2 linked regions of the Oreochromis niloticus genome follow. The protein of the gene in region 1 purifies or fractionates together with the protein of each later gene. This does not show direct contact. Links are inferred from orthologs where the notes say so. Each region holds a gene or a part of one and is shown in the gene's direction. Other genes may lie near its edges.

The links.
Region 2: the proteins of psmc3ip (region 1) and mnd1 purify together in Homo sapiens (co-immunoprecipitation; 6 studies listed by BioGRID and IntAct, counting the BioPlex papers as one, with this or other methods). This does not show direct contact. The link is inferred for Oreochromis niloticus from reciprocal best matches to the Homo sapiens genes PSMC3IP and MND1.

Annotation. Positions count from the first base shown.
Region 1 is NC_031969.2:26,004,462-26,012,482, reverse strand, and holds the start of psmc3ip (homologous-pairing protein 2 homolog), read left to right. Parts: upstream 1-4,913; 5' UTR 4,914-5,174; coding exon 5,175-5,193; intron 5,194-5,551; coding exon 5,552-5,652; intron 5,653-5,747; coding exon 5,748-5,837; intron 5,838-5,923; coding exon 5,924-6,035; intron 6,036-6,254; coding exon 6,255-6,400; intron 6,401-7,215; coding exon 7,216-7,269; intron 7,270-7,431; coding exon 7,432-7,491; intron 7,492-7,588; coding exon 7,589-7,645; 3' UTR 7,646-8,021. Other genes in the region: retreg3 (reticulophagy regulator 3), read left to right, coding at 303-382, 1,054-1,186, 1,274-1,821. UniProt on the Homo sapiens protein: Plays an important role in meiotic recombination. Stimulates DMC1-mediated strand exchange required for pairing homologous chromosomes during meiosis.
Region 2 is NC_031971.2:13,859,328-13,866,396, reverse strand, and holds the start of mnd1 (meiotic nuclear division protein 1 homolog), read left to right. Parts: upstream 1-4,056; 5' UTR 4,057-4,222; coding exon 4,223-4,225; intron 4,226-4,696; coding exon 4,697-4,762; intron 4,763-5,269; coding exon 5,270-5,327; intron 5,328-7,069. Other genes in the region: trim2a (tripartite motif-containing protein 2), read left to right, coding at 260-400, 2,057-2,209. UniProt on the Homo sapiens protein: Required for proper homologous chromosome pairing and efficient cross-over and intragenic recombination during meiosis.

The DNA of each region.
Region 1 (8,021 bases):
TTTTACTAGACTTGGCAGCTAACAAATCAGCTGGATTTTATGTCAATTTATTCTTTTGAGATGAAACTGTTGTTAAGACAATTTCCTCTCCAGTAAATGAGACCAAAGTGCAAATATCAGAGTAGATACAGTGATGTAAAGTATTTTTTTCTTTGTTTGTTGATTAATCTGTTAATCAGTTCTAATTTTACAAACCATTTTAGCATTTCTAAAACTGGTTGTCCTGCACACTATTTAACTACTACAGTTAAAATGAGCTGGACTAAGTACTCATTTGTTGTCTTGGTCACTCTACTCTGCAGTCCTACGAAGACCTCTACATGGTGCAGCCTCGGGTGAAGCCAGTGACAGTGAGGAGGAGTTGGCTGCTTTTTGCCCAACAGTAAGGCTGTTGCTGTTTTACTTCTAAAGCTCTTGATATTTTAATCAAACTGTTACTCACTATGCCTGCCTTTCTATTGTTTAAAGTCGGGACATCATACCTGAAATTTGTCTTCAAATATAGTTTTTGTTTTTGTTCATATTGTGATCCAGTAATTATGTCAACATACACAAAATGCTTCCTAAACCAGAAGTAAACTTTTATATTTAAAGTGTTCATAATGTGTAATGTGAATTTGTGAAAAAATGTTAAAGAGAGTCTTTAAAATTCTATAAATTAAAATTTAAAGTCTGTCAATGTTTTGTTTTTTTTTGTTTTTTCTTTAAGTGAACATGAGTTGTTGTTAGTCAACAGTGTTGGTTACAAGGTTATAAAATGAAACGAAAGATGAAACCTTCATTGCACCTATTGCTTTTTCAGCACACGGTTAGCTACAGCAGCACGTCAGCACCATTTCCTGTTGTGGTTAGGAACGTCACAAAATGTGCTTGTTTATTTTTGTCTTAATGTGTGTTTGTGGCAAAGCCTGCAGACGGTAAAAGGATGAGAAACAAGCAGAGTCAAACTAAGAATGTTTCTCTGTTTATGTCAGAGTCGGAGTTACCAGCTTGACTGCCATCTTAAAAAAATGCACCACAGCACAACCTAAACCATTTCATTTTGTCTCCTAGTTTGATGATGCTGTTGTTGCGAGGGCGCTTGCACTGACCGACTCCGAGCATTCTGATGCTGAGGTTTCTTATACTGACAATGGAACATTTAACCTGTCACGTGGCCAGACCCCACTGACTGAAGGCTCTGAGGGTATGTATGCAAGAAAGACGGATTTCTTACCTCCATTTCCTGGTTAGTTCATGCTTCTGATCTTCTCCCGGTCTGTAATCCGGCCAGATTTTGACAGGCATAGTGATGCTGAAGAATCCTTTGCCCAGGACCTCCCAGACTTCCCCTCCATAAACCCTGATGCCACTCTGATGGATGATGATGATGACACGAGCATTGGACTGCCTAGCCTGGGTCCGTCTGGGCTAGCTAGTCACCGGGCTTCAGTGCTGGATGTGGATGCTCATCTTGACTCAGACCAAGAGGATCTAGATGCTGAACTTTCTCTTAGCAGCCTGCCACTTGCCTCTAATATCACTGGAGACTTGGCTGGAGTCATTGCCAGCAACATGATCCAGGCAGCAATAGCCGGGGCGCTGCAACCTCAGCCTCCTGCTGCCCAACGCAGAGAAGGTCCCCCCAGGGCCGGGGCCCACCGAAGTTATCGCAAGCAGTCCAGCTCTGAGCTAGACACAGACTTGGATGGAGAAGACTTTGAAATGCTGGATCAGTCTGAACTAAACCAGTTGGATCCCTTCGGTGAAGGTGTAGGTTCTAGACGTGGAGAGAGCCAGGGTTCTAACTTTTTGTCTAGCCTGCTTGGTAAACCACAGTAAGGTGTGTGTGTGTCTGTGTGTGCACAGCTTGAATGCGTATTGATAAAGTATGAGAATGTGTGTGGGAGACTATTTTAGGTTCCAGCACCCCTGTTCCTGATTAGCATCAGTTTATCACTGTGAAGTATTTCATATTTTCTATCTTTTCAGACTCTCTTTGCTGTAGTTTGAAATCTTGATCATCCAGAAAACTTTTACTTCGTAGGCTGAGCAATAGATAACACAATAACATACATAAAACATATTCAAACATTAAATAAACCAGCATTATTGAGCCTTTTTGCAGTCTTGTAACTTTACACACCACTCAGTTACAAGGTACAAGTACTTGTTGACTTCAAATGAAAGCCAGAGGCCATCAGATCTTTTCTACACCGAGGTCTAGACATACAGGGCTATTAACACAGGACCAAATGTGACATTCCTCTTGGTTGAGCTGAGCCATGTTTTAGTACTGATATTGTGCAACAGCCTTTTATATAAAAGCTTATTTAGGCATTGCAGTATTCGGATGTATCAGCCCTTCAATAAGTAGTAGCTCATGTTCATGTTGATACTCTGCTGTCTTAACACGATATGATGGAAGAGGATTAATTTGATGGTGTACCATCGAATTAATTTAGAGATTCATTTAGACAATTTAAACAGTTGATAGCAGTTGCGTATTTAGACAGTGATTGTGTTCTTCAATGAAGGTGAATGATATCTGGATAAAGTTCAACATTTTCTATTTCCCTTTTCTCTTGACTAACATGAACGCATTCAAAGTTTATTTTGTCACAATAGTCTTATGTGGCCCAGAGTAACTCTGATTGTTACATTTGTGTTAATGAATTTGTTCCTCACAGCAGAACATGCTTCTTTTTCGCGTGTGAGTAATTTCTGAATTTTTTTTCCATTTTCCTGCCCTTTAATATGGCTCAATTACCTTGTGTGCATGTTAAATACCTGGAATGAGCCATCGGGTTTGTGTGCGATTCAGTTTTTTGTTTGTTTTTTTTTTTTAAAGAAAAAATTTAAAATAGTCTCTTTATGTCTTACCACTCTTGTATTCTGTCTGCTTGACCTTCAAACTGACCTTTTTTTTTTTTTTTTTTTTTTTTAAGACAGAAAATTATATTCTCAAGGCTCTTTTACAATCTTAATAGGCGACCTTGTTTACATCAAGTTTGGATAGGAAGTTAACCTCATGTCTTTTTTAAGTGTTATTTTATAGTGGCTTTTGCTGGTCAGCCTGATTTCCTATACATGGACAAATCATGTCTGTATAGCGTTTTAGAGTGGAAATGGCACTTGAAATTTCCATGAGCCACAAGTGAGATTTACTGAAATGCACACATGAAAAGTTAAAATGCTGGTTGTTTAATAGAGGGAAAAAAACATCACTGTTTTCAATTGTTATTTTGAGAAGAAAATCATAGCTGCAATTTTAGCACAGTATGGAAAAAATCTGCTGGATTCAGAATTTAAATAGAAAAATGCAAACTGATGGGAAATTGCAGAAAACAAATATTACTAAATTAGTTGGACTTGGTTTGACCATATCAGTTAACAAGAATGTTTCTGTAGGCTGTTCTATGAGAAGTCCTCATTATGAGGGATTTGTAGGCTGTTTGTTATGTAATGTGCATAGTAGTGTATTTTCTTCTCTGTAACTGGTTTTGATATGTTTTGATGTGCAAATCATATTAAATAAAATGTTTGCAATTAACTGTCTCTCTGTTTATCAAAGGTGCTCTTAAGGCAATTCACATGTACTTCATTTAATACCGAAAAGCTCTGAAATGACTAGAAAACCAGTCACGGCCTAATTTGACATTTGTTTTATTCCGTTTTAGATGGATCGTCATAGCTGTGGACTTTGAAGAGCTGCAAGGGAATTTGATTTCTCTAAAGCACTCTTCGGATAATAAAAACATTTTGTGTCACATTTGGTCACATGTCAAAGGTGTCCTGTTGGTTTGATATCTGGTGTGGAGGCCATTTAAAGTACAGTTGACTCAGTGTCATTGTGGTGATAAAGTGATAGACATGGTCACCAACAATACACAGGTTGGCTGTGGCATTTAAACAAGGCTCAGTATTAACCCTAGAACACTATCGCTGGGTGATTTTCACCCGAACAAATACATTTACATGATTTCTCTCTCCTGCAGCTTTTAGCGTGTCGAGGAGACTGTGCCTTCACCAGGGAAATCTCAAATGTCCCAGGAATGGGTGAACCAAAGACCAGCTTTCCAGTGTCATTATTTTTTTGTTTAGGAATTTTTTTGTTCTTGAATTCCTAATTTTTCTGTTTTGGAGCATTATCTTAGGGTCCCCCCATGACACTTTTGTTTTCATATTGTTAGACATGGCACAGTTGAAGATAAAAGAAGACCACTCTAGTTTGTCATGTTGTCATATTTTGATGACGTACTTTTTGTTGGTCTTATTATATAAGGGGTAAAAAATCACCTGGCAGTAGTGATTGTGTTACTATTTATAGCGATAGCGTTCTAGGGTTTACATCAAATTCTGACCCTGCCGTCTGAATGTTACAGCAGAAATTGAGACCCATCAGACCAGGCAACGTTTTTCTAACGTTTTAATTTTAATGAGATACCTAGTAAGATTTTCTGCTATAGCCCATCTTTCTTCAAAGTTCCACATTTAGAGATGCTCTTCTGCATATCTTGTTTATTGCACCCTGGTCATTCTCCTCTGACATTAATGAGACATTTTCACCCAGAGAACTGCAGCTGTTTTCTGATCATTCTCTGTAAACCCAAAAATATGGTTGTGAGGGAAAATTCCAGTAGATCAGCAGTGTCTAAGATTCTCAGACCAACAACCATGCCACGTTTAAAGTCATCCAAATCTCCTTTTTTCCCTCATTGTTATGCTTGGTTTGAACGTCAGCAGGTCATCTCGACCATGTCCACGTCTTTATGTATGAGTTGCTACCATGTGATTAGCTGAATAAATATTTGCGTTCGGGAACAGGTGTACCTAATGAAGTGGCCGGTTAGGTATATCTTGTTTTGGACTTTGAATTGACTGCTTCTGAGAACAGCCAAATTAAAAGAGGTGTCACTCTACTTTTTTTCGGGATATCGCTAACGACATGAAATGAAGAAGGAGATAAAGTTCTACTAAACATAAAATAATTTAAGTAAAAGAACCATTGAGATACTTTCAACCTGTCATACTTAATAGCTTTTGGGGCAGGATTAACAGAGGGGCGCTCAAACGCGAAGGCAGAAGACGGATTTTGTGCTGGTGTGAATCATCTTTAAGCATGAACGATCTTTTCCGTGACGTGCGTTTTGCGCGAAACTCGGATCTGGAAAGCTAAAGTGGAGTAGTTGGAAATGAGTAAAAAAGATAACGGTAGGTTAAAAGTTTATATTCTAGGCTATAACAAGTTAGATGGCTTGTCAGTCGCCTGCACTGAGCGAACGACGATTGTTAAAAGTCACAGATATAAGGAAACGTTTAGCCAAACGGCTACAAGCTAGCGTTAGCTGAGACGACCTCCGTGTTTTTATTCTTCTTCCACTTTTCCAAACGATATACTTGTTTTAAGGAGGGGAATCATATTTATTTTAAAATAGGTTAGGATGATAATTATGGCCAGAAAAAAGGGACTATTAGATATTAACCATGAAAATCTACTTCTGGTATAAGTTAAGTGTAATGTTGTAGTAAGTTTAGATAAACGAGCTGATTGTCCTGCTGTCATTCACAGGGGCTGCCCTCATCCTTGCCTACCTAAATGAGAAGAACCGGCCCTATAGCGCTCAGGATGTCTTCTCAAATTTACAAAAGCAACATGGGCTGGGCAAAACGGTGAGTTTAACACTTCAACGAGACAATTAGATGCCTAAAATTAACCTGTTTTTCATAGCCTATAAGTAACTGTTTTTATGCATTTCTTCCAACAGGCAGTGGTCAAAGCCATGGAGCTGCTGGCCCTGGAAGGCAAGATAAAGGAGAAAATATATGGCAAGCAAAAGATTTATTTTGCTGACCAGGTTAGTCTGTTTGTCTGGAATATTATGCACATATAATTTTTATAAATTCCAGTAAAGTAACTGAAATAACTCAATCTGTCCCACAGGCTCAGTTCAAAGATGTGAACGATGCAGACCTGAAGTCAATGGACCATCAGATCTCAGAGCTCAGTGGAGAGGTGCAGTCCCTTACCCAGAGTTGCAGACAGCTAGATGCAGGTGAAATTTTCTGCTAATCACTGACATTCAACAATCTTATTTATCTTCTCAGAGTTTGCACACTCTTAAGCCACAAGATGTGGCTGTTTGATACAGTAAACGGTTTACGATGAGGCTTGTCCCCACTGCTCTTTTCTCTACACGTGTTGTTTTTGTTCTACTGCATATGTTTGAAAGGGGATGTTCTGTAACATTTCTGTGTGAAATCTGTGATGACAGAACTGAAGGAGCTAAACAGCTCCCTTACAACAGAGGAAATGGTGTCAGAGATCCAGGAGCTAAAAGCAGAGTGTTCTGGGTACAGAGCCCGACTGGAGAAGATAAAGTCAGCCTCAAATCACATCACGCCAGAAGAGAAGGACAAGGTGAGGAATCCACCAGGGATCTGTCCTACGGCCTCTCTTATTTCTAAATGCTGTGAAAAAGTATTTACCCCCTTACCGACGTCTTTTTTTTTTTTGCATATTTGTCATATTCACACGCTTTAGTAAATTTTAAATTAAGCTATGTCATCGCACCCATTTGCAAATGAATCCCCATCTCACTGTCCCTTCTCCCTGTTTGAGTACCATGGTCTACAGCCTTCAGTTGTCCTCTGTCTTCCACAGTGTCATATAAAAATCTTAATGATTCATGAGTCAACTGTACATATACTGTTCAGTAGGTATCTGAGAGTACACCTTGGATGGAGCTGGGTTTTTTCCTAGAGAGTAGGGTACTGCTCCCATGTGGCTGTTTAACATCTCATCTCACTGTAGATCAGCTTGTTAGTCTCGGTAATGGTAATGGTGGCGGCATAGTGCTGCATTCACATAATCTAGTAGAGCTTCTGAGGGTACTTCACTTAGTCTTGGTAACGGAGGATCCAGGTTTCAAGCTTGCCATGATCTCTTGCACTCAACGATCATTCTTCTAGCGCACTTGGGGTTTGGTACCCAATCTCGGGTGGGGCTGATAATGTTATCTCCACCCCTGACCTGTCGCCCTGGCTCCCCCTTGCCGTAGCATGTGTGTTGTACCCTATCAATCTCTAACCGTGAGAGCAGTCCCTTCTCCTGAACGTTGGACCTGCAATGTGGATGTTGCGTATCGAACTTGCCACTCCTGCTCCAAAGGTGTGTAACCTTACCACTACGCTATCCAGCTGCTTATATATATTAGTATTATTTTTAATTTGCAGGTTTATAAAGAACGAGATCTCTACGTTAAAGAGTGGAAAAAGAGGAAGAGACTGGTAATCTTTTTTACTTAAGTTCCTTTTTGTATTCATAGCTCATATGTTTCATATTGCATGCCATGTATTTTAAAAATGCAGTACAATCCCTCCCTTTCATTAGTGCGAGTGAAACTGCATATGGACATGTTATTAAAGTGTTTGGCACTTTGTTTGCGTTAGGCTTCAGACATGATAAATTCAATCCTCGAGGGTTATCCAAAGAGCAAAAAGGAGTTCCTGGTGAGTTTAAGACACTAAGAAGAAGAAAAGAAAAAAATCCTTTTTAAGAATAAAATAAAATTCTTGCTATTACCTGCAATATTCTGCTTCCTCACAGGAAGAAGTTGGAGTGGAGACTGATGAGGACTGTAAAGTAGTTCTTCCACATACTTGAACAAGAAAGTTCTTTTACAGTCACCTTGCCACTAATCTAAGCAAATGGATTACACAGGAAAGCAATCTGAAGCCCAGAGAATACTTTATTTATCGCCCTTTATTTTGAATAAATAGTTCAACTTTAATAAATGCTTTAATTGAAAAAAAAAGTTCATAACTGAAAGTATGTTTTTATAAAAAACTGTTTCGTTGCTTGTGAAACTCTTAACACTTTCACATCAATTGACAACACAGTCATGCTCTTCACCTCAAAGGCAACGCTGGTTTAAATTTTCCCTTCTAAAGCGATTTAACCAATCCTGAGCTTTCCAGTGAAAATCTCAAGGCTTTATTTAAATGTTTAAAATCTATACATTCTGTTGTTCTTGTTCAAC
Region 2 (7,069 bases), on another chromosome or scaffold:
TGTTATGTGGATATCTGCTGGTTGCACCGGAAGCCTCAGACTAGCTGGCTTTAGCCCCGAGAGGCAGAAGTCATCAGATGTTCACTGGTAGCTTCTCAGAACAGCTCTGCAGGGAGGATGAAGTGACGTAATACATGTGTATTTCACTAACTACACTTACATAGAACAGTACATTTTTTTTTTTTTTTCCATTTATTTTAATTTTTTTAAAGAAGTGTTCTCTCTCTGCTGTTGCTTCTCTTTGAAAACCACACTGCAGGTTTTCAACACAGAAGGAGAATTCTTGCTGAAATTTGGCTCCAATGGTGAAGGCAATGGCCAGTTCAACGCCCCCACAGGAGTGGCGGTGGACGTCAATGGAAACATCATAGTAGCCGACTGGGGCAACAGCAGGATCCAGGTACGCAGAATGAATCATTTCTACTCCTTGAAGACTCGGTTAATACAAACTTCTGTTTCTTTTTTTTTATCAAGTGGCATCCAACATTACAATATTGCCTCATAATGGCTAATGAAATGTTACCAAAACACCATTAATAGTATATTTATACACTGATCAGGTATAACATTATGAGCACTGACAGGTGAAGTGAATAACACTGATTATCGCTTCATCATGGCAACTGTTAGTGGGATATATTAGGGAGGAAGTGTTCTCAAAGTTAATCTGTTAGAAGGAAAATGGGCTAGAGTAAGGATTTAAGTGAGTTTGATAAGGAGATAAATTTTGATGACTAGACGACTGGGTTTCCAAAACCGCAGCTCTTGTGGGGTGTTCCCCATCTGCAGTGGTCGGTATCCATCAAGTGGTCCAAGGAGGGAACAGTGGTGAACCAGCGGCAGGCTCATAGGCGGCCAAGGCTCACTGATGCAAGGCTGGCCTGTGAGGTCCGATCCAACAAGCAAACTACTGAAGTGCTGAAAAAGTTCACCCTGGTTCTGACAGAACGGTGTTAGAAAACACTGTGCATCAGTTTATTGTGTATGGGGCTGCATAACTGCAGATCAGTCAGGGTGCCCATGCTGACCCCCAACACCAACGCTGGGCATGTGAGCATCAGAGCTGGACCCTGAAGCAATGGTCTGGTCTGATGAATCAGGTGTTCTTTTACATCATGTGGATGGCCGGGTTCGTATCACTTACCTGAGGAGAAGGGAAACGTCTTCAAGCAACTTAAAGAAGTCCAGACACTTTTCGTTCCAAGCTCCTTAGATCACTTAGCTGAGGAACAACTGGACCAGAATGCACTGTGGGAAGAATTCAAGCTGGGGGAGGCAGTGTGATGCTCTGGACAATGTTCTGCTGGGAAACCTTGTGTCCTGACATCCACATGGATGTTACTTTAACACGTACAACCTACCTAAGCATTGTTGCAGACCACGTAAACCTTTTCATGGAAACTGCATTCACGGTCTCTTTCAGCGAAGTAAAAATGGTTTAGGGATGGTTTGACGTGCACATCGAAGAGTTTAAAGGTGTTCACTTGACCTCCAAATTCCCCAGATCTCAATCGAGCATCTGTGGGATGTGCAAAGAAGTCCAATATATCGATGCCTCACCTCACGACTTACAGGATCTGTTGCTCATATCTTGGTGCCAGGATCCACAGCACACCTTCAGCGGTGTAATGGAGTCTACGGTTCGGGAGGTCAGACTTGTTTTGGCAGTACAAGGGGGACTGACACAATATTAGGCATAATGTTAGGCCTGATCACTGCACGCTGGTGTCTAAAATACATGTGTTTGAACCTCTTGAGACCCTGTGTCCTCATATGGAGATCTTCCATTTGGCTTTTCTGCACCTTGTATTTCACAGATCTCTTGCATCACATCTATCCCATACAAAAGCTTGGGTCTCAGAAGGGTTAAACCAATAGAAGGCAACAATTGTCACTTCGTAAAAACTATTTTGGTCACTATGCATCATCCATATTCATGAAATCATTCATTATTTTTTTTTTTAAACTTTATAGCTATGTGTGTTGTACTTTCCACAAAAAGCCGAATGAACGAAACACTGATTTCCAGCAGTGATGATATTTCTCTCTCTCTTAGGTGTTTGATGGCAGCGGTTCATTCCTCTCTTACATCAACACGTCAGCGGACCCCCTCTACGGCCCGCAGGGACTGGCGCTCACTTCAGACGGACACGTCGTGGTCGCTGATTCTGGCAACCACTGCTTCAAAGTCTACCGCTACCTGCAGTAGCCACTCGACACAAAGCCTGTACAGTGTACATATGTACAAACACGCAGTAGTGCGGAGCAACTGGAAGTTTTTGCACTCCCCCCTCACCTGTTCACCCTTGAATCTTGCTGTCATTGTGCCATCTGTTTGACCTTTCTCCCTCCCCAAACTAACACAAGAGACTATATTAGTGGTGCGAGGGAAGCGATATGACCTCTGACCTACACGAATGGCTGCTGCTGATTGGTGCTCACTTGAGACCTCGTTCACCTTCCATCTTAATGTGGAGTATTTGAAAAGGCTTTAACGCGGTCCACATGGTAGAACTTTGAAACTGGGAAAAAAATAAATACATACTTTTGCACTTGTTTTTCAAATCACTGGCTGTATTAAGTGAAGTCATAATTAAAGTAAAAGGTACCTTAGTCACCTGAGAAATAATGAAATTCCATCTGTAGCAGCAGTGACTGCAGCTTCCTGCTAAATGCTCTCAAGGGTTTTTACATTTTGCCTCTTTACTATAAAAGTGTTCCACCCACTGTAGGTATAGCAGGGTATTTAAGAGCATGATTAAGACGTCTTTGTGCATGCAGTTCTTACTCAAACACCTTAAACTGTGCGTATGAAACAGTTTCCAGCTGACCACTTTCAAACAGAGACGCTGTTTCACTTCTATTTGAATGTGAAAGCTCCTCATTGAGCTGTGTCATCACTTTTAATATTAAAAAAAACAACCCAGTATGCTGACAAGTGTGACTGTATGAATTAAGGGTACCAAACATAAGCCACCTGATATGCATCTGCTGTGTATGATGCCTCTTAACATTTCTGCTGTGATCGTGTGCAGACCCCTCGAGTTGCAGAATTTGAATGAAAAGCTAATTGCTTGGAATGAACTCGGCAGGATGCATCCTATTAAGTTTCTGATTGAAAGATTTCTTCATCACGCTGAAAGTAGAGGTGCAGAACTGCGATCACCTTCACTCCTCCATGTGCTCTTATAACTTAGGTTAAATCTATAGAGTGAGTAACAGATTGTGTTTTAACAACACAATTTGTCTACCTTCACAATCAGCAATAGAAAGTTTGGCAGTCAAGGTGTACGTTAAGTGATAATGCACTGTGTTCCTATTAGAAAGCCTTGTTTGTCTTCAAGCACACAACTGTCATTATTTGTTATCCAGAATCGGGTCATCGATTTTCTACACGATCTTGTAAATTGTTTGTTTTCCAATGTCCTGTTTATATTTGTAATGCCAAATGGAATTAAAGTGCCCATAGAAATGAATGATAGTGCTTTTGTGTGTAATACATGTGCTGCAATAAGCTGAATTTAGATAGATATGTTAAATAAAGAATAACACTAGTAATTTCAAAAATGTTTGCACATCACTTTAATCTTATGGTCCCAAACAGTTTTTAGTCTTTGGCTGCAGATAAAGCCTTTAGGTCTACTCAGCAAACGCCCCTTTTAGAGGAACCGCCCATGGAAAGCCAGGGTGTGGATATTTCTGACCATAGAAGGTTTTTGTTGCTCAGGGCTGTCTGCTTTGGCCTTTTATTTCATCAGACGGCAGGGGGCGCTATAAAGCCATAAGCGGAAGTCAAAAAACAGTGCTCCTCCCCAATGCTGCCTTCATAAGCACTCGTACATAATCCGAATACTGTTCGTTTGTTTATTGGTAAATCAGGAAGGAGAGAGTTAGGGGAGTGTAAAAGAAGTGCTTCAATTTAACAGTAAATATTTTGAATGCATTCAGAATATTGGAATTATTATTGATTCTGTATCTCTATCAAACAGACAGTAACTCTAAGTTCACAAAAAACATCTGGTGAGTTTTGGAGTTCCGTAAACGCAACATTGGTACGTCACAGCCTTCCGCGGGAAATTCGCTAGTGCTGCGTCCCCGCTCTGCTTATACGTCGCCTAATCTTTCTTCTTTACATTAAAAACTTTTCAACACCCCTGTGTTACCCTCAGGTGGCTAAAACGTTAATGTTAGTGGTCGTTGTTGGTGAGCTCTACATCGAAAAATGGTAAGCAGAAGTGCACCTTAACCTGCTGTACCTACTGTAAAGACCACCGGCGTTTACGTAGTTGTTTGCTATCATTTGTAAGCTAGCTTATAGCTTAGATAAATAGACAGTTACTTTATTGATCCCACAAGGGAAATGATTGTGGTACAGCAGCATGATAAAGAGTAAAAGCTTATACCTATCGCTAACGATACTTTCACAAAGCAGCATTTATTATTTCACATCATACATTTGGTAAACGGCTACAAACTTTACCTGTCATTGGACCAGTCATACCCCTGCTAGCAGTCTATTTCATTTAGTTACTTCACAGTGAACCACTGAATATATAAACAACTTGTTTAGATGAAAGATTTCAAGAGGTCATTCTTCTAATCTCTATTACCTTTGGCTCCTTGTTACTCGTAAATAATAAGTGTTAGTAACTCAGTGCCTCACATATAGATGAATAACATTAACCCCCTGTTACAGTCAAAGAAGAAAGGACTAAGTCTGGAGGAGAAGAGAACTCGCATGATGGAGATTTTCTTTGAATCTGTGAGTTTGTACCATTGCAGGTGACCCAGCCTCCATATCCCCACTGTTCTGTCCTACTCTGTGTCCTATTATTCATACTGGTCATTGCTGTTATGTGATTATTTTTCACCATTATACATGCGTGATGTAATACATCTCCTGACTAAACATACCCCCCACTCCCCACCCCCAGGCAGCAGATGACGTGTTTGATTCAATGTTTAAATCCATGCACCGTAATATTGAGTTAGAAACTTGGTTTTCAACATTTAAATCAGGCAATAAAAAGTGCAGAAAATGAGACACTTAAGCGGTCCTTAACATGGATAAACCACAAATTAAAATATCCAGAAAATCAATTTATTTTCTGTTTATGCAAATGTTATTTATGTTACCATCCAGAAGCAGTTCTTTGAGATGTAATAGTTTTTAAATTATTTCTTTCTCTGTGATATTGAAGTTTTTATTTTGTTTGTTTGTTTGTTTGTTTTTTAAATCCTGGAACATGTTCTTGTGCTCTCTTCCCAGAAAGATGTGTTTCAGCTGAAAGACATTGAGAAGATTGCCCCAAAGTCAAAAGGCATAGGTGAGTAAGGAACAACAGTTCCAATCGGAAGGTCAGTGGTTCGATCCCTGACTCCACTAGTCTGAATGTCAAAGTGTTAGCTGATTGGAGTGTGAGTGAAAAATTTGAAGCTTCTGTGTGTGAATATTAGTCAAAGTGCTCAGGCTTAGATAAAAACTGTGTGTGTGAGTGAGAGAGAGACTGGGTGAAGTGCTTTGAGTCCTCTGTTACAGTAGTTCAGTTTAAAGGTTGGTTGAGACTTCACTCTATTTTTAGAAAACACTTATTTTTCCTACACCAGACTTTCTTCTGATTTTGTTTGTATTTATATCCACTTACCAGAATAGCCTCATATTTCATCCAGCCAGATGGCTCATGAGGTGATCTTGCTGCTGTGATGTTGGTTTGTAATAAACTCAGAGGAAAAGGAAACAGCTGGAAGCAACAAAAAAATCTTCAGTCACTGTTTTATCAAAATGTAGGTTCTTGTCATTTCTGATGAGTCTTGTTAAGGAAATATTTGACTGTCCAGCTGTACTTTATAGTGTTTTTTTTTTTTAAAGTGAAAAAAAAGCAATGTACATGAAAGGTGTTCAGTTAATAATAATATATATATTTTTTTGAACGATCTGTGTGCACCTTCTGCAACTAAAGTAACACAATCGGTGTGTTGAATGTAGACAAAGCCTGACTTTTGCCAATTTGTATCATATTTATTTCCCCATGAAGGTCTCACTTTGAAACTTCCTCTTAATGCGTGTGTGGTTAGTTTAGGCAGAGTGAGATGGGTCGAAAGCGGGTGTCTCACGCCAAAGTGTTAGAGTTAGCGGCATCTTCGTCGTCGTCGTCGTCGTCTTCTTCTCTTTTTTTTTTTAAAGTGAGCTGAGCAACTCACAGTGATGCACAAGAGGCATGCACAATCAGATCTTGTGCCCGTCTCTGCATTAATGTGACTTCATAATCATTAGACTTAAGTTTCCTTTTTGATAAAGCGTATAGATCGGGTTGGATCAGGTGACCCAGAATCCTCCCTTAGTTACGCTGCGGTAGGCTTAGGCTCTCCATGATGCAATTTGTGTTTCTTCTTCATTAGTCTTTTTTTCCATTCATTGCATTTACACACCACTCTGCATGTAGTCCTTGGTTATTATTAATCTCTGGCTCTTTTCCACAGTTTGTCTTTTGTCCTGTTTCTTCCTGTTGAAAGGGAGTTTTTCCTTCCCACTGTCGCCAAATGCTTCCTCTTAGGGCGTTGTCTGTTTCTTGGGTTTTCTCTGTATTATTGTAGAGTCTTTACCTTACCTTGAGGTGACCGTTGTTGTGATTTAGTGCTATGTATATAAAATTGAATTAAATTGAGTCTTGTAAGTGACCCGTAAATGTTATTAGTGTAAGACTGATATCCGAAATTATGGAAAACTGACCATTGTGTTCATCCAGGCATGATTAATGGAAAGGAGAATTAGAGGATGACAGAAAAATGACAAACAGATGGACTTGGATGAATATCATAAGGACAAACAGCATCAGCGTGCAATGCACATTCATGAATTCTTAAAGACATTGTGGTGACATGCTTACAGAATTGCCATGGCAACTAGGACGGGCTATTGCCATCTTTAGTGTGTGTAAGCAGAACAAAACTTATCAGTAGCAGAAATCATTTAGTTGAGAAGCTTTTGGAAGCTTTTGGTTTTGCAGCCTGACTTTCTGATGGTTGAGGCAAAATGTCTAATAATACAAAATTAGATTTTTAGGTGCTA